Drosophila melanogaster: one gene and its partners. Changing the gene in region 2 together with the main gene of any one other region gives a genetic interaction. Each region holds a gene or a part of one and is shown on either strand. Other genes may lie near its edges.

Region 1 (8,910 bases), on a different chromosome or scaffold from region 2:
TACCCCTTAATTGCTGTCCATTAAATGGGTATCTCTAATAGTGCGATAATGAAAGAGTAAGCAAGCAGTGAGTAGTTATATTCTCAACTTTTCAAAAATCACAGAAAGCGGAGTAGAACCATAATTAAATTAAGGGCGCATCTTCTATTAAACGTTATTGTCGTTAGCTGATTCACAGATTATTATATAATGCTATTAAAAATTCTCGTTAATTTCATGCACTTGAACGTCGACAAGGTTCAAGTTTGGTTAATTGAATACTCACAGCATGGGTATGAGTGTAAGTATATCTCTATGCATTTCTATAGATCGGAGAGTCGAGGAGCGAATCGCACATAATCATTTGTATGCAGGTGGAATGGTGTCATTCTGCCGCACGATAGACTGCGAATTTAAATACGTGGTCCGTGGTGAAGGAATAAACTTTATTTGATACAAAAACATCAGAGCTTCTCATATGTACAGGCAAAAACGAAACGCAACGAGAATGGAAGTGTAAATGCCACTAAAACTGACTAAACAATAGCTGAAATTGCATTTAACAAGGTTCTTTAGCACGCTAAAAACAATTGAAATGCGTATAGGAGGCTATCATCTACACAAATGCAGATACAACTACGTTTACGATATACGATATATATATGCTTACGATATACAAAAGTGCATTGTTGACATGGAAATGTGCTTCGGATGCATCTCTCCTAGGCTGAATGATCTTTGCTGCCGATTTCCCCCGATTTTCCTCTACTACACTTAGCCTTACAAACTAATTAACAGCATATTGGGCAAAAGGCAAGGTTCAGACACAACTCTATTGCAGCTCTTAGAAGCGGATTTCGTTGCGCTGCACCTGGTCGTAAACCTGGGGCGTGAGCAGCTCGTACCGACCCTTGGAAGTCTGGTAGTACAGCGCGTCCTTGATCGCGTTCGGATCGTAGCCCTCCTTCTGCAGGTCTACCTTGCGCAGCTTAAAGGTTCCAGTCAGGTCCACCTTGGTGAGCAATCGAATGATCTGGGGACGAGCGTACGCGGGCAGCACCTTGGCCAAGCTAGCGGCGAAGACGTCGAGGTCCAATTCTCGCTCCGGATCATAGATGGCGGCCATGCCGGCCCTTCCCTCGGTGTGCGGAATGGTTACGCCGTAAACGACGGTATCCTTGTAACCGGCCACATTGCTGACTTGCGCCTCCACCTCGCTGGTGGAAACATTCTCGCCCTTCCAGCGGAAGGTGTCACCGGTGCGATCCTTGAAGTACAGATAACCCTTCTCGTCGGCAACCAGCAGATCTCCGGAGATGAAAGCCATATCGCCATGCTTGAACACATCCTTAACAATCTTCTTCGCGGAGGCCTTTTCATCGACGTATCCGAGGAATTCGCGAGAAGGATTTCCTTTGACGATCTTGCCGATGAATACGCCTGGCTCGTTGGGAGCGCACAGTTGGCATAGGCCATTCCTATCTCTAATGGGCTCTCCGGTGTCCGGATCGGCGCGAATGATCGAGATTGGGTAGATCTTGGGCAGGATGCGCGACACAAAGCCGATGGCGCCCACCGTGTTGTCATGATTCATGATGTTCGCATTACCCTCGGTGGCGCCGTAGAACTCGCCAACCTTGGCAATGTTGAAGCGCTGCACAAACTGTGGCCAAATCTGCGGTCGCAGTCCGTTTCCAAAGACCAGACGCACTCGGTGTTTCTGGTCGTATTCCGAGGGTTTCGTAGCTAGAATGTAGCGAGCCATCTCACCGATATACTGACCAATCTGGAAATCACAAAAGCCAAATTAGAGAGTGATTTAGTTAGGCCATAAATCTCACTTACAGTTGCATTATACTTGGCGCAGTCGGCGAAATAGTTGGATGCCGAGAACTTCTTGCGAATGGAGACCGTGGAGCCAAAGAGCACCGACTGACCCATGCACATAATGCCACCAGCGGTGTGGTACAAAGGCAAGGGCGTGTAGAAGATGTCCTCCTCCTGGAAACCCATGGTGTAGTGGATGCCAGCAGCGATAAACAGATAACTAAAGTACAAATTTGTTTAGAACCTTTCCATTTAAACTTAGTTCAGAAAAGCTATTGCACTCACCGGGAGTGAGAGATAACCGCAGCCTTTGGCAATCCTGTGGTGCCGGAGGTGTAGATGTAGACCAGCTTGTCGTGGTGGTTAACCTGCGTCTTGTTAGGCTTCTCATAGCTGGCCGTGGTCAGCAGCGCGTTCAGATTCTTGGCCTGCGGTATGTTCTTTTCCGTCTCGCTGTTGTTGTTCTCGTTGTTGAACTGGAAGAGTGTGAGGTTCGCTGGCAGATCCTTGGCCACGTCGGTGACAGCTTCCAGGAAGTCCTCGCCGTAAATGAGAGCCGAGCAATGGGCCACCGTGATGCTGTGCAGCAGGGAGGGACCGCGCAGATTCGTGTTGATCAGCGGTGTGATCACACCGATCTTGGAGAGACCCAGCCAGGTGGCCACGTACTCGGCGCGGTTCTCCAGCAACAGGGCCACCACATCGCCCTTTTTGTAGCCCTGAGCCTGCAGCACATTGGCCACCTTGTTCGCATGCTCGTTCACCTGACGGAAGGTCCAGCGTTGCGTCTCACTGACCACAGCCACCTTGTCCGGATGGGCCTGAACATTTCGTTCGAAGACGTCCGCCACCGTGTAGTTGAGCCGCTCATGGCGCTTCGTGTACCTCAGCAGCTTGATATAGGCCCAGAGAGCTCTGTTAAGGGGAAATTTGATTAGTAAATTAAATATCAAACCTGATAAATCGAGGAATCTTCAAACGAACAATGCTAAATTAGTTAGTGCTATATAAAAGTGTGTTGACTAGACAATATTTTTGAAGATAGCGTATCTTCTTTGCAATGGAAAATCCACAAATAACGTGTATAACCAACGGATATTGATATGTTACTCAGTTTTGGAGGGAAAGTGTTTGATTAGCGGCTAGTCGAGGATAGTAGCCGTACCGGCATTATCTTTGCCATCAATCGCGTGTGTTTTATGGTTAGTGGTTGGGGTCTGTATAAATAGCCAACAGAAATCGAAGCTCGACAAGCGCAACAGCCGTGATGCGATAAACCCAGAGATAAACCCGCTCGAAGTGGTTGCAATTCAATCCGAACGTGGTAACCTAGTCCGACCATGCGAGCCACAACTTAATGACGCTGCTAATTTCGAGCTGAGTAATGCAAAGTTCACGGGAAGGTTGAGATAAAATCGTATTTGTTTAGCCAGTTTCAAGGGCTTTTGAATTTTCCGGGAGAAAGCTTAACCAATAGCTACAGATATCTAAATCTGACGTTTATATTTTCATTTGCAATCGTATAATCATTGGAACAGAACTCTTACACATCTTAGTATCTTATCACTTATGAGGATTAAGAGTTTTATACTTAAACTGTAACTGTTGTTTGGCCCATGTTTATCAATATTGAAGAAGCTATCGGCAAAATAAATAAACCTGCACACTGAACGAAGGCAGATAATGTTTATCATTGACTAGCGGTTGAAATAAATTGCACTTGTATTGACAAATGTGAGTTTAGAAATTTGATTTTTTTGTAATCATGTGTATTTCTTATAAAGATAGATGCCTTCAAGTTGTTACACGGTATTAATTTGTATAAACTATAAAGAGCTGCCTCTGTAATACTAATAGTTTCCTCTACAAGTTCTAGAAGAGCTGATGCTACGGTCTGAAAGGCATTTGCAAGCACTTAAGATCCACAGAGATTTGATACGATAGGAAAGAGTGTGAGGTAGAACTAATCCAAATCGCAAATACAATAGTTCGATGGGAACTGTATTAGAAAAGGGGGAAAAAAAACCTACACTCGACTTGGGACTCGACCACAACGACGATCTCAATTTGAATTCGCTTTGCACCCGTGCGTACTTTGCACCGTCAACGGGGCAGTGAAGTGTCGATAAGATTGCCGGTAACAGCTAGTTAACTTAGCTTAGCGCTTAACGCACATTAGCCGCGTATTTATAGGGTTTTTAATCAGGCCTTATGACCCCCATCGAGTGCTTTGTTTGCTTGGCTCCTTTTGGAGTTGCTGCACATGTTTGCCCGCAGATTGGATTCGTCTACTTGGTGGCCGAGCAAAAAACTTCGATACGTGGCCAAGGTTGACCGGCCAGACTTGAAGTTGATCTTAAGAATCTGTTGTGAGCGCGAAATATACGAATGGCCATATAGACGAGCTGGGTAAATGGGAAACCAGTGTTGGCCTTGGCATGGAACTTGATCTGCCGAGTTTGACTCATTAAGCGAAAACTGCCGAGCAAATTAAATGCTGCTGAGAATACTTGCTATTTTAATAGCTATAACTTTACGTATTTAACCTTATTTATGGTCAAACATAATTTTGTAAAATGCGTTGCAATGTGTGAATATTTGCGAAGGCTATAGCTCAATTCAAACTTAATTGAATCTTAAAATACTTAGTTAAAATGAAGTGTAAAGATTTTGCTCCTATTAGTTAAGGTGTTTGGTTAGATGGTTTTGGTTGTAAAAATGTATATTACTAACAATACCTGTGCTAAAAAGCAATATCTATAGCCGTCTTCAAAATACATACACAAGTCAAAAGGCGACACTTCCGCTTTTTTAATTATCGTAACGACAGACGACACAAAGTATATTGATGAGACATACATAATTTTGACAAGCTTTTCGTTCGCTTATTGCTTGGTCTACAATTGGTATAGTTTGGCTTGCCGTGGCAACCCTGGAATCTTAACACTTCCACTGTAGCCATAAAAAAGTGAATCACTTAAAAATTAAAAATCTATGTGGTTTATAATATTATTGTAATTTCTTTAAATTTATACTATTTATGAGGTTAGCAAACTTACTTTGATATCCAAGTCCTAGACATTCTTAACTATAACAATTTTAAAAGTAAAGAGCTGCTTAAAAATTCTGAATACTTAATAACCTTTCTGCAAAATTTCAAAATGTAAGTAGCCCTGGCAACCCTGGAAAAACGAAAATTCCAAGACGCAGGCGACACTTCCGCCATCATAATGACCCAAGCTTTGGCTCTTTGGCGTACGTTTTCAAGAACAGATCGGTTAGTGTGCCAGTGGTCTTCCGCCTGACGCACTCGATCGCATTCGGATCGATTAGTATGCGCGGAGGGTTTCGCTGGGCGACGATCGTATGAAGTCAATGGTAAATAAAAGCGAGTTTTGTTTTGGTTTCTCGTAGGTTTTTTTTTTTTTTTGGGCTGTGCGACCTTGAACCTGAAGAAGTCAATAAACTGCTCGTAATCGAGTGGCAAAAACTAATAATTTGCGTTGACTATTCGTCACAATGTCGCATGGATCATTTCGCCAGTTAAGTTTTCTCTTTTATGGTTTTCCCAACTGGAAATGAATGCTGCTGTTGGCGACCCAAATAGATGGAAAACGAGTTTTTTCCACTGTGGTTTCTGACTTTCGGCTACGAAGTGAACCTCGCACTCGGCTGATTTTTCAGTTCGCTTATGTTCTCAATCGATTCACAAAAGAAAAGCCCCCAAGATGTTGTTGTGTATTGAAATGCAAACCGCACGGGGGCGGTATTGTAAACTTATCACTGGACTTGGTCTTGGGTACAGTATGCCCTCCCTGTACAAGAGCAGCACTCACGTTAGATCGCGACTAGCGGTCGCACCCGCTATGTAGAACCAGCGCCAGCCGGGTTTCGTCAGTAGCAGAGCCACCAGTGCGACGAGCACAGCAAAAATCCAGCCCATTGTGTGGAGCGTGTAGATGACGCAGGCGATTGCCAAACCGAAAGCGACCGTTGCGCAGAAAAACCGAAAAATGACTAAAAACCGCTGGCGGCGACGTCGCTGTCGATCGTGCGAGCCGTCGGTTATCGACTTTCGATCAGCTGGCCGCTTGGCGTTGCCAGATCAGCGAAAAGAAAATAAGATCGTTAGTATTCGAAATGGGTTTTGAGATTTAAATTCTTACATTGGTGCTGTAGAGCGCGCAGTTGTCAATGTTTATTATCACATTGCTGTTCGCATAGTTGTCCAACAGGCTGTTGTGCTGCAGAAACATTTTTGCATTTTATTTCAGTTTTTAAAATTTGAGTGTTCTTTGTATTGCATGACCACTGTCTTGCTCCATATGTTGCACACATTACTTACTGTAAGCTCATGCCTCGGATGACCAATATTTGAGCTATTGTAACGCAAACGCTGATATCGTTCGTTGCGCTGTCACAAGAATCCATTGAACATGTAGAACGGCAGAAAGTGTCGGCGAGCCTTGCGAAATAACATTTTCCGGTATTTAAATGGGAGTAACTTTGCAGTTTTTAAACAATTGCCGTTGCTTGTTTTGGTTTTGTAACTTGTCCTGCGCCAATTGTTTTTTTTTCGAGAGCTTTTGATGCTGCTCTTAGAAACTAGTTCCTAAAATCCAAAACATCGGTATGTGGTCCACCACTAACTATCGAATGGCTGCTCGATATCATCAGCTGTCCCAACCATCAGGTGGCAACTCTTGAGGCCAAAACAAATGTTTAGTTTTATTTAGCGGGTTTTTTTTTTGTTTATTGTCTAATCACTGCCTCGCCATGAAGATTTTGTGCGAAGTTCAGGTGGTGAATCGCGCCACCCAGACGAACAAAACGCCACGTCCCGTGAAATCCACACTGGCCATTGGCTACAAGCAAAGCGCCAGGGATGCGAATGGAAACACCAAGAAGGAGCTGGAAATGGTGCTCTTTAGTGGACAAAACAAGACTGGAAATCGCTACAAGGTCAAGGATAACATTCATGTCGTGCACACCAAGTTTGTGCTGGATGGGAAGACCACCATTGGTTTCATACAGCCGCCAGATAACCTGCTTATTAAGTGCGATCCTATCCAGCTGAAAGGATTCCTGCAGACCCTCAAGCTGGGCATGGATGGCAAGGACGCCATCAATTTGAGACTGAACATAAACGCCGCTACGGCAATTCCGCAGAAGGCACAGCCCCAGGTGCGCATGGTAATCAGCAAGCGGAGCGAGTATCCCATCAAGGGATTTCCGCGCACCCTCAAATCGCTGACCATCAACAACAGCCAGCTAGTGAAGCTGAGCTTCGAGATATGCACCCTGCGCAACCTCACAAAGCTGGATGTCAGCGGTAACAAGCTGACCAAGGTGGATTGACTAATTAGTTATCATTTTAGACCACTGAGTTAAGCTTAATTCTGCCTTTTAGATTCCCTCGGAGCTGGGTCGTCTTCCGCTCACCTCGCTGCACCTGGGCAACAACTTACTGGGTACTCAGAATGACTGGTGCTGGCTGCGGGGCACTAAGCTCTGTCAGTCGCTCGGCGAGCTGGATCTGTCGGGCAACGGGCTGACTTACTTTCCACCTCCGCTGGTTAAATTCGAGTCGCTTGTATCGCTGAATCTCAACAACAATCTGCTGAGTCGGCTGCCCTTTGCCATTCGCCGGATGAAAGCACTGCGTAAACTTTATGTGTGCAGCAACGAACTAGAGTCCCTGCCCTCTGCTGTCGAGGATCTACGGATCGACCTGTTGGATGTGTGGGGCAATTGCTTCAAGGAATTCAATGCAGATGCCGCGCAGCAAATGTATCTGCAAAAGGCGGCATCTAATTCGCCGCAACCTTTGTGGCTTTTGGGAGCTCGAGCTGTGGATAAGTATATGCTGCCCTTGTCCGCGGGCTCTATTCCCGCTGTGCTAATAGATCTGATAAGGGAGGCTCCCAGATGCCCGTGCGGCGAGCTCTGCTATGCCCAGCGCAAGGAGGACCTCTTCCAGCGCGTTGTTCAGCCGAAATTCATCACCGTTAAGAACCTCACATACAGTCGTGAGCATCAGATCTACGCGGATGTGGTCCTCTGTGACTCTAGGTGCAGTGCATCTGCTGAACTGAAGTTGCTCTTCAATATAATCTTTTCCTGATTGAATCAGATGGTGTACATTTTTAGCTATTAGTCAAAGATTTCTTTAAATTATTTCACTAAACCACATCATTGATCCAAAATTAATTGGCGCGGAGCACTTATTTAAGTATACGTATTTTTATATACTTAATCATTAATCATTGCTCGGTTATGTTTTCATTCACCGTATTTGTTATACTTGTACTGCCAATAAATGCGAATTAACGATTATTATAAGTTAGTAGGCTTAAGTGCAAAATAACCAGAAGTTTAAGAATATGTTGTAATTTAAGGTATCCAAGGAATGAGTATATGCTACACATGTGAGCATAAGGCATTGATTTTCCTTTTGGGCAATAAGTTGAATAGTCCTTGGATGCAGTGAATCCTCCTTCACGGCACAATTTCCGTGGCATAAAGACATTCACACGCACGCTTGGTTGCTTACTTTGTTTTCGTATTACAGAAGCTCGTTGTTTTTATTATTAAAAGCTTCGTGCGTATGTGACTTGAATAAACGATTTTTTATCAGCCGGCTCACCACTCACTCCACTTTGTGCCTTCTTGCTTTTCCACCACATACGTCCATCCATTTGACTACACTACCTATGTGTCCGTTACCTTTTTGGTTTAATTATTAAAAAATGTAGTCCCATTATTTGTTTAATATTTGTCATACCTTAGAGATATGCAAGATACATATGTGATCGAACATTATTTCTATATATTCTAAGCCCTTGAAAGGGTATCCGAGTATTGGATACCTCATGTTTCCTGTGAGCCTTCTCCTTATCACTTGCTGTTCTTTGCTTTTCTTTAGCTTTATCAAATCAAAACTGGGATGTGACGCCACTTTTTTAAATAAGCATAAAGAGCGACGCAGCCTTCAAGGACCTTCGCCACTCCAGCTCCTTCGCTGGGCTTTAATGTGCAGCTGGGGAATCGGGCGGCGAAGGCAAATGTCCTTTCAGGACGAAAAGGATGAGCCATGACTTGTGG
Region 2 (4,803 bases):
CAATGCCGGCGAAACGAAAAGCAACAATTGCAGGAGGAATATTTGCATCTTTAGCAGTCCGTTTAACTTTCCAATTGGCAGATCCATCGCGTTGCACTCTCGTCAAATTTGTGGCAGCATTTTGACAACAACATAGCCATTTATAGTTGGCCACTTTTCGGGGCTTGGCCAAAAGCCGGAAGTCACTTGCCCAGCAGTCAGCGGTGTGTGAAATCGATCGACGCTGCTGCCCCGGATTGTGCAATGCTCCAACGGTCAGCTGCAGGGCTTATATAAGATATGGCAAATAAAATGCGAGAAAATTGTAAAATAGAAAAAACCAAAAAAAAGAGGAAAATCAGCTAGACTGACGGGGATGAGACCTAGAATCAAACTGCTGGCAGCTGGCGGCCTTAGCCATCATCAAGGTCAAAAGCTTGGGCTATTTAGCATACACAAAAATTGTGTATTTTGGCAAACGCATTGTCAACATCTGGAGCTTGGAACTTCCGTTGACCGTTAGAGCCGGCCATATCCAGTTCTGGTTGATCCTGATTGGTGGAACACATATCCTGGCAGCCTGTTGCTTCTTGCAAGGGGTTGAAAGCCTACGATGTGACCTATAAGCATTGGGCTTTTCAACCCCCTGTCATCGTTGAAAAATCACCCTTAGAATTCCTGCCAGCAGATCCTTCGTCGTCGAGCTGCGCAGTTGTTTAGATCATTCGACTTCTGAAGTTGAAACCCACAGCACCGCCAAGAACAATCCACTACCAAAAACCGAATCCTTACCGAATCACTTTTGGATACTACATCGCAAACGAGAGAAAAGGTGAGTGCTTTTGATAGCCATAACACATTTATAATATAGCGACACGAGGTCTGTTCAACTCATCAACATGCATATGTACGGGTACAAACTCCAGATCCACCAAAGTTACATTATAGATACGATTATAATACAAAGATTGTGGCCTCCACGAGAGACTGCTGCAACAAATTTTCAGTGCTTTCGATTTAGTTCAATTCGGTTCACAACAGAGCTAGAAGAGATTGAAGATCGGTGGCCTAGTCCGCCATGTTCACATTGTTCATGCGCATCTTGGCGAAGTCCTCGAATACAATATTATCGTCATCATCCTGGTAATAGCCCTTCACATTGCGGTGCTGCTCGATGGACTTCATTTTCTTCATGGCATTCGAGCGCTTCTTCTCAATGGTTCCTATACCACATCAAAGGAATTACAAACTAGAAGTCAAGTTCAAGTAATCTTCTAAAGCTTACCAGGTGCCGGTTGGAGTAGCTTGAAGGGCACATCCGTCTGCATTTCACCTCCCAGAGTGCCGCAGTTGAGCTTAATGCGCACCGAGTACGAGATGACAATACCACAGGCATCTCCCGTGGACTTGCCCTCCTGCACCATGGTGGATGAAGCCAGGTTGACATCCTCGTCCTTCAAGTGACCATCCAGGGCGATACCTGAGTTCACAATTAAATAATCCATTAGAAACTATCCAGAATCACAACTATCACATCCAAATCCTACCATGGCGATCCTTGTTGTTAGCCGCCAGCGGAATCAAGTAGAAGGTCTTGGTGAGATTGGCGCCCGGAGTGATGGGGCAGCCCTCCTTGGTCTCCAGCTGGGCCACATGCTTGCTGAACTGGGCGTTCACCATGGTGATCTCAGTGTGCTGCACAATGAAGCACTTGATGCTCTTCACGGACTTCTTGGAGTTGTTCGACACCTGGACGGTGGCAGCCGTCTTCTCGCCATGATAGTAGATCTCCCTGTCCAGCGTAACCTCCAGACTGATCTTGCCATTCGAGAAGGTGAATCCCTTGCTGACCAGCGAGCTGGGCAGACGCTGGCCACGATTGAGGGGAGCGTACTGCAGCTTCTTGATCACCAGACTGACCATGCTCCGCTTGTGCTGGCGATCGTCCTCGGAGTCGCCCACAAATGCCCGGATGGTGTACTCGACGCCCAGGGGCTTGCCATTGTCGTCGCCCTCCTGCTGCAGAGTAACGGAGCTGGGCGAATTGGGCGGGAAGTGGAAGGTGAACGGATAGGCGTTGCTGCCCAGTTTGCGGACCAGCTTCTCCTGCATCGGTGTCATCTCCATGTTGGGATTGGTCATGGGCACAATTTGCTCCCGGCACAGGATAAGCTCCTTGGAGAACTTCACTCCCATGACCTCGTCCTCCTCGCGACCATAGCGATAGGTGGTGGCCAGTTGGCCAAAGACTTTCCTGTTCTTTAGATAGTCCGGTTCCACCACAATCACTCCATCGACGGGATCACAGTAGTCGATGTGGTCGATGAAGTCGCGGCGTCCCAGATAAAAGGTGACCTTGCCGTTGGGCGTGGCCTTCTTAAAGACCTTCACGGATACAACCATTGTGGATTAGTGGATTTCTTTGATTCCTGGCAAATGCAACTGGGCAATTCGAGGCTAAGTCGGGCGATGCGCGTTATAGAGTTTTCCGTTCGGCGGAGGAAAATGCGAAACCCAAGTGCCGTACAACCTGCTTATATACCTTTGCCCTGGCCCTGTCCGTGGGTCTTCATTCTGGCCACTAACTGGATTTGCTCGTTATGCACTTGTTTGTTGGCTTGTCCAACACGACAATAAGATAGAACCATAGGAACTAAGGGAAAACTGCAAACAAGCTGCTTCCAGGGGTTGTTCTATTTTCTGCGCAGTTTGCCACTTGCCCGAGCAAATTGGCTAATGTCAAGTATCTTTTTCCGATTTTCCGACCTAGTACGAGGTCATTTGGCCAACTGTTGAATAATTGAGCATGGTAGGTTGGAGCTGGATTAGCATCCGATTTGGTGTTACCGGGTTGTTATCAATCGGCCAGTTTTGTTCTCTCTTAGCCAAACATCAGTGGGCAGCAAGGAGAAACCTTAGATGTTTTTAATTTTGTTATGTATCAAACGTCGATATATTGATTTTAATGTGAGAGGTATAATTGAAATTGGCATTTCTTACAACTAGCTTACCAAAGGTCGCAATTCATTGTAGTTAATGTTAGATAATATTTAAGGTCCAGAGAAATTGGTATTATTTTGAATCTCTCCTTTTTTTTTCTTTGCAGTTGAGATCTAGAACCAAGATGCAGACACAGACACACACCACCACAGACCGACATGGCTATAGCCTGCGCTTTTCGCCTTTCGAGGCTAACTACTTGCTGCTAGCTACAAGGTGAGATCAATCTTAAGCTCTAAAACCAACAATATACTAATAGAAAACCATTTTTTTTCGATACCCAGCCAACTGTACGGTCTTGCTGGAGGTGGTTCCCTCTTTCTGCTGGAACAGAACTCCAACACAAATTCCTCATCCACAGATGGCCAGAGTCTCGGAGAGCTGTGCCGCCTAGAGTGGTCCGATGGATTGTTCGACGTCGCCTGGTGTCCGTATGCCGCCGATATCGCCGCCACTGCCTCCGGAGATGGATCGCTTCAGATCTGGTGCGGATTGGATGGCGAATCGGCGAGCAACCAGCTGACGCCGAAACAGCCGCTGATCTGCCTGCAGGAGCACAAGAACGAGGTGTACAGCCTGGACTGGGGCGAGAAGTGGAACTACCACACGCTGCTCTCGGGCAGCTGGGATTGTACACTGAAATTGTGGGACTGCAACAGACAGAACTCCATCACCACATTTGTGGGCCACAACGATCTGATCTACGGGGCCAAGTTCTCGCCCCTGATCGCCAATCTGTTTGCAAGCGTAAGTACCGATGGACATCTTAACTTATGGAACTCTCTTGACTTTGCAGGTAAACCCCTGATGAGCATCGAGGCGCATGCGAGTGAGGCACTATGCTGCGACTGGTCGCACTTCGATCGCAATGTCCTGGTCACTGGAGGTTCGGACGGTCTGATCCGCGGCTGGGATCTGCGCAAGATGAGGACGCACGTCTTTGAGCTGTACTCTGGAGAATTCGCTGTCCGGCGATTGGCCTGTTCACCGCACTCGGCAGCGGTCTTGGCATCGGCCAATTATGATTTTACCACAAGGTAAGTGGAATGATCTTAGGCTTTCAAAAAACAGGACATTTTTATGGTTAGTAACAACTGTCCACTTTTGTCACCTTTTTAGGATTTGGAATCTGGAGCGTGGTGAGTCCGCCCAGGAGGTCAATGCGCGGCACACGGAGTTCGTGTGCGGATTGGATTGGAATCCCCACAGGACCCATCAGTTGGCCGACTGTGGCTGGGACTCGTTGGCCAACGTTTATACCCCGCAGTGTCTGAGCGGTGATCTGGTCGTCTAGGTTAGTACAGGGCATGCCCAAAACTGGAAACTGGAACTGGTACTCCCTAAATACCGAAAACACATGTGATAAGGCGCTAGTGGCGTCGAAATAGCCAGGCCTACAAGCGGTGCACCGTTATTACGATAGCTGAGCTATATGCAATGCCTATAAGGAACTGTAAGGAACCGAAGACAAGGACTCATCGGCGCAACGATGACGTGTAAATAGCTGTGTGATAAACGCTGAACGGGCTAAAACCTCAAGCAGGTGCTTCAAAATGTCAATAAAAGCTTACATATATCACGAGTATTATATGAATTATATGGGTTTTCTGCGCTGCTCTGTATGTTATTATGGCCTTCGCAATAAGTTTCTTGGCCCCTGGCTATAATTTGCACTCGGCCCTTGTCTTAACAAGAATTTAACGGATCACGGAATTGGAGTTCGAATTGGTTAGGTGGCAAAGAGCCAGCCAGACGCTGACGGAGATTGACTTGGCATCCTTATCCGGTTGGCTTAACTCTGACCAAACAAACACGCAATAAAGC
Region 3 (5,669 bases), on a different chromosome or scaffold from region 2:
GAGCGTAATGGCCGTGGAGGAGTGACTTTTCTCCTGCTGCTGCTGCTGTTGTTGTTCGCTGAGCAGGCTAAGAATGTCCTGCTTGTTCTGGATGATGATCTGGCCATTTTCGTTGCGTGTGCCGCGCAGCAGGATGATGTTGCCGCCACTCGTGGCCTGATGCTGCTGCTGGTGTTGCTGCTTCTGCTGTTGCATGGCCCCGATCTTGAGCTTGGCCGCTCGCAGAGTCGTCGTTGTACTGGTTGTTGCTGCTGGCTTTGCTGATTTCGCTTCATTGCTGCTTAGCTTGCCACTGCTCTGCGATCGGATCAAGACATTTTTGGAGGTGATTTGGCCTAGAAAGGAATAACAAAAGTAAATCAGTCTTAAATAATCAATTCAATGTACATACAATATATAAAAGGTATTTATCCAGGTAAAACAACAAAATTAAAAATGTACATCCTAGAACGTCTGGATGTATAAAAAGAGTAGATCTTATTTATTTATTTGTAAGTTATCTAAACAGCGTGTTGGTTTCATTTTTGGTGTAAGTGCTCCTGTAACATTTTGTTCTCGATTTCTCGAATTGAGCAATTTCGAGTGGCCCCAAAAAACGGACAGCCCCATTGTATGCAAATTCAATGGAAACTTCATAAGCGGCGCAAGATTTATGACTCCATCTTGATCGAATTTGGAAAGCCTTGCATTAGAAGCGCATGTGACAGGGGAGGCAGGAGGCGTGGCTGCCATTGTTGCACTTTCCCAGGGTCCGTAAAAATGAACTGAAAGGGACGTCGAGCATTACGTATACGCGACGTATGCCTAGAGCGGTCAGTGGCTCGGACACTCTATTTTGTTGGCCAACAAATGGGGAGGATGGGCGGTAGCCAAACGCTAAATCAAGCGAAAGACGACATGTTTATGGCAGGGACGAAGGACTACTTAGCCGACGAGCCCCAGCACAAAACGCAATAAAAGTGCAACAAACAAACAGCGAGTTTTCAGCCAAGAAAGGAGGAGAAAGTAATGGGGTAGGTTCACGGGTGTAGGCAAATGGGGGTCTCTGCCCTGGCATGCGTTGCCAAATATAGACTCTCAAGGCTGAAGGCGACACGGAACGTAAAGTGCGCGCCGGAAACATTTCGAAATGTAGCCTAAACACTTGTCCGGCTCCCCTGCTTTTCCCGCCTCCCCCCGCCGCCGGCATCCAGCACCCTTTCCTGGGTATTTCCACACCCCCAAAAACCATGTGTGTTTGTTTTCGCAAAAACGTGCGGGTCATAATTAGCCGTTGACGCCGCCTTCAGTCGGCTGTGCTTTGGGGAAAAGCGGAAAAGCAGAAAAGCGGGCAGGGGAAAGCGCCACATGCGACCATCTGACCCCAAGTGGACAAGTGTCTGCGCCCCCTTCGCCTTCCTTGGAGTGTCTGTGCAAAAAGGTCGCCTGCCGCCAGGCAAAATAAACCGCCTGAATTGGACCAGGATCGGAATAGAATAGGTGGGGCCACTGGCTGTTGGCTGGCCATCCATTCGAGCGCACATACTTCATTGTAATGTATGGCAGACCAGCCACAACAGCACGCAGATCCCAGGATTCGGGGCACTCGGGGATCAGGCAGCCGCGTAACACATAAAACACTCTTGGCTGAAGCTTCGCATATTTTTGCGTTCGTCGCGGCTTTTGATGTGCAACGATGTGGACAGTGGGCACGACAATTGTTAGTTTAAGTAAAAAAAAAAATATACAACATATATATAATAATGAAAACCAGAAGATAAAAACGGAATTTTGAATGGAAAATGATTTTGTTGTAATTATTTTAAAATTAATTTGCTTTTAATTCGTATTTATTTTTAAGGGTTTTTCTCATGTATAAATGCTGTTAAAACCAAATATTCCTATAATAGGAAATATCAATTTAATTGAAATATTTTTTGTTTTTAATTCTTTTCTTTAAATTTTGTTTGATTACAGGATTTTGAAAAAAAAAAATCGTGCTATATAATCCCACTGTTGTACTCCACGTGCTTTACTCCACTTGCTTAGCTGGGAAACTGGGGGGGAAACAAAAGTTTCTGGGTAGCTGGACAAATTGCAAGTCTATTGAATTTTTATTAGAAGCATAAATCAAAAAGCGTTAGATTTGCCAGCTGGGGAAAGAGTTCGATAAATATGTCAATAGATTCTGCACATAGATAGCCGACAAAGGGTTAAGAAAGAGGACAAATCAAAGATGAACAAACCACAAGAACAAGAACTTTGATAGGCTTTATCAGTCTGCAACTGATTATTACTCTGGGTCTAGACATAAATATTTATTATTTAAATAAAGTGGTGAACGTCTTGGATTTTTTTGTGACCACTTTCCAATCTTTTAAACAATCATTGTTTATAAACATTTAGGTCACTAGTTTTGTGTTTGGAAAAGAAATGTTTCCATTTATCTTATCTATACTCATGAATTTATGACCAACTAAGAGTGTGTTATTAACACTTCTAAAATTCGAAGCCCGCCAATCGGTTTTTACGAGCAGAGTTGCCATATTTATGTTTAAAGAATCCAGATAACAGCTGATTGCGTCCATAGGAATTTCCAATTAGACTCTCCCATCTTTAAACCAGCTTTGCAATACCGTAGATGGGCGTAATACTAAAGAGATTTCAGTATTGACAGGAAAGGCGTAATATGGCACAGCGGCCACCAATGGGTTAATGGCCCAAAGAAACCCCCAACAACGTGAAAACAAAACGCAACGCAAAGCGAAACACAACAAAACAAAAACTAATTGGAAAACCAATATCGAGGAGAGCACGACTATCAGGTCGAAAATCGGGAGATACGTGGGCTACAGCACAGATATAACTTACATATATGCATGTAGAAGAGGGATGGGTGATAGGGGTAGGGGGAGTTGGGGCTAACTTACTTTGGAGTTTCAGTGTGGAAGTTGAATTAGAAGTAGAAGAGGACGAAGCGCTGGTGGAAATATCGGGCACATTTTCCATGTGCACAGCTTTAACAACCAATTTTAGAATGCACTACTCTCTTAGCGGTTGGCACATTTATTTCGCTTTATTGAGAATGCATTTTCATTTTTGCACACCAGCTCGCACGCACACACACACAGGTGACATGGGCGCTCGCACACGCACACAGCGACACCGAAATCGCAGAACTCTGGGATATCGAAAAAAGGTAAACAAAACTTTTTCACTGCCTCCCTGTGCGCAAGCCGTGGAGTCCCTTGGCGGATTTCGATGTGCTTCAGCTGGACGATGCATAAAATGCAACAAAAATCAATAATATCACCGTTTCACACACGAAATTATTAAAAAAAAACGATAGCGAAAATATTTTGAGCTACTCCAAAACTGTGTGCATGTCAAACTGTCAAACATATGACGGCAAAGTTGCCAGATGTTGCAAAGGGCGAGCTCCCACAAAACTTAACGACAATGATTTCGAATTTTTTAAAATTGATAACTTATTATACAAGAAAGCAAGAATACTTTACAAGCCAATAACCTTGTAATCTTAACCTTACAAGTCTATGTTTGATATAAATTAGTTTAAACTATATCTAACCATCTGGCAGCACCCCAAGTGTTCCACTTATCGGCTTATCGGTCAAGATGACAACTCCAACATTCAATTATCGGAAATCGGGCACTATATTTAAAATATCGTATTGAATTTCAAATCCGGGTTTTGTTAGTCATTTTTTATACGTTTTATAATTATTTTCTTTCTGTTGAATTTTAAACTCCGATGTATCCCGCCGTGTCCGCTGTTTACCGCCGACGTCCAGCTGACGGTTCCACCCTTCTTTAACTTACATATGTATATGTACATTTCAACGAATCTAGTATACCCTTTCAGTCTACGAAAATTTTAATCTTAGTTCAATCAAATGATGTATATTAGTATATAGGTACATAGTCGATGGCCTCGGTTATATTATCTTAAATAAATAAATAATGAAGGATTGATGAATTTATAATGCATATTTGTCTTAAAAACGCTGAGATTGGTTTGCTTGGACGTGAGCAGGAAGTTCTATTCCTGCGACTTTTGTTAGAACCCAAGGAAAATATTACATACCATTCTAGTTCTTAGCTTAGTTCAATCATAAAGTTATATGTCAAAATCCTTTAAGAGGAGCATGCAAATGGGAAGTAAAATGGGCGTAAAATGTAAATGACATTTTGTGTAATTCGCATATGTACATTTGTATATTGTAAGCTATCAAAATATATGTATGTTTGTATGTATGTACAGCCCTTGAGACCGCCCATCATTGATAGGCAACGACTTTCGCCGAACTTTCCTTGGATTTTTCCAGCAGCCGACCCCGCGGTTTTCCGACCCCGCCTCGCTTCCCTCCGCTTCCCGCGACCAGCGGAAGTCTCGGGGCTCTGGCTCTATCAAAATCAACGGGCGGGGCGACTGAAGCGAACACAGAATAATTGCCATAGCTGTGTGCCAGTGCCAGTCAGTGCCAGCAGTTTGAAATCGACGACAACATCAGCAGCAACAAGCATTGCAACAACAGCGACGGCGCGGTGATAAGTCGGCTGCTGGCTGTATATTGCCGCTGGCTTGTTATTTTATTGTCGCTTTTGTTGCACATTGAAAATAATACACAAAATAATTGAATTACTCGAAATGTGTGCATGTCCGTGTGCGTGCCACTTGTGTATGTATGTGTGTGTGTCGTGCCTTTATGGGGGCGTTCAGGGCCCCGCTGATAAGCGATGATCAAGAGGTAAACGAGATAAGCGCTGCTCATTTGGAAGCACAGGCAACACGCGCTAAATGAACCCGCCAACTTGATAATCCGCGATCCCAGAAAACAAAATATTTGTCTTCTGAATTATCTTGTAATGATAATTTGACAGTTATTGTATATTAAGAAGGTCAATGTTTACTTATGGGAAGCATAATAAAGCTGAAATTAGAATTTTATGTTTATATCTATAGTTAGGATAATATGATATTCTCTCAATATTGCTACATTACATTGCTGGCTATAATTTAGGCATTGGAATTAATCCGAATCGCGTTGCTTGTTTGATTTGCAGCTTTGAGTTTCTTATTTACATATGTATATGCATTTTGTGGCACTTTGACAGTACTCCCCACTTTTGATTTCCTACAGTGTTCCCCGTGCTCGTCGACATGTGATAAGGAGCGTGAGGTGGAAACGTGACTCTCGGCGGGGCGGGCATCGGCACGTAAATTATGCTGATGACACCGGCTCCGCACCCAGGCTCTGAAAAAGCTGAAAAGCCCGAAAAACTGAGCGAGCGATTGCGCTTGAAAAATACCAGCACGTTCCTACGAGCTGCAAAGCAACAAGAATAACTGGCTTCGGCTGCCATTTTATTGCAGCGCACAAATATTTACAATACCATTTAATGACATTTCGCCTTATAAAACAATGAGTGAGAAACGTATTTTCTGGTTTCATGCATTTTATTTGGCTAATTGGGCCTTTGAACTCTATTGCTTTGATGATGAAAACGACGCCAAGATAACGTCATGTGCGACGAAACAAGCATTCGAAGTCACGCCCCCTCAGGACTCCCCTCAGCGCGCCCAACGAGCATACGCAGTCAACGCCCCTTGGCGACGATAACAATTCAAAAGAGACCCCGATCAAAATGCAATAGCGAGTTTTTAAAAG

Evidence for each region.
Region 1: of Arr2 (region 2) and Fatp1, changing one suppresses a phenotype caused by changing the other (phenotypic suppression), as found in Drosophila melanogaster (one study listed by BioGRID).
Region 3: of Arr2 (region 2) and Camta, changing one enhances a phenotype caused by changing the other (phenotypic enhancement), as found in Drosophila melanogaster (one study listed by BioGRID).

What each region holds. Positions count from the first base shown.
Region 1 is NT_033779.5:10,510,844-10,519,753, forward strand, and holds the start of Fatp1 (fatty acid transport protein 1), read right to left. Parts: upstream 6,376-8,910; 5' UTR 6,287-6,375; coding exon of another isoform or gene 6,152-6,286; intron 6,051-6,151; coding exon of another isoform or gene 5,973-6,050; 5' UTR 5,897-5,972; coding exon of another isoform or gene 5,750-5,896; coding exon 5,643-5,749; intron 2,722-5,642; coding exon 2,092-2,721; intron 2,027-2,091; coding exon 1,825-2,026; intron 1,766-1,824; coding exon 824-1,765; 3' UTR 1-823. Other genes in the region: Lrr47 (Leucine-rich repeat 47), read left to right, coding at 6,583-7,155, 7,217-7,930.
Region 2 is NT_037436.4:8,646,444-8,651,246, forward strand, and holds Arr2 (arrestin 2), read right to left. Parts: upstream 2,494-4,803; 5' UTR 2,383-2,493; coding exon 1,527-2,382; intron 1,460-1,526; coding exon 1,265-1,459; intron 1,203-1,264; coding exon 1,048-1,202; 3' UTR 818-1,047; downstream 1-817. Other genes in the region: CG13305 (uncharacterized protein), read right to left, coding at 1-87; Pex7 (peroxin 7), read left to right, coding at 3,104-3,195, 3,264-4,016, 4,099-4,273. UniProt on the Drosophila melanogaster protein: Regulates photoreceptor cell deactivation. Arr1 and Arr2 proteins are mediators of rhodopsin inactivation and are essential for the termination of the phototransduction cascade.
Region 3 is NT_033778.4:9,443,752-9,449,420, reverse strand, and holds the start of Camta (Calmodulin-binding transcription activator), read right to left. Parts: upstream 3,376-5,669; 5' UTR 2,989-3,375; coding exon 2,910-2,988; intron 336-2,909; coding exon 1-335. Other genes in the region: ced-6, read left to right, coding at 4,738-4,748.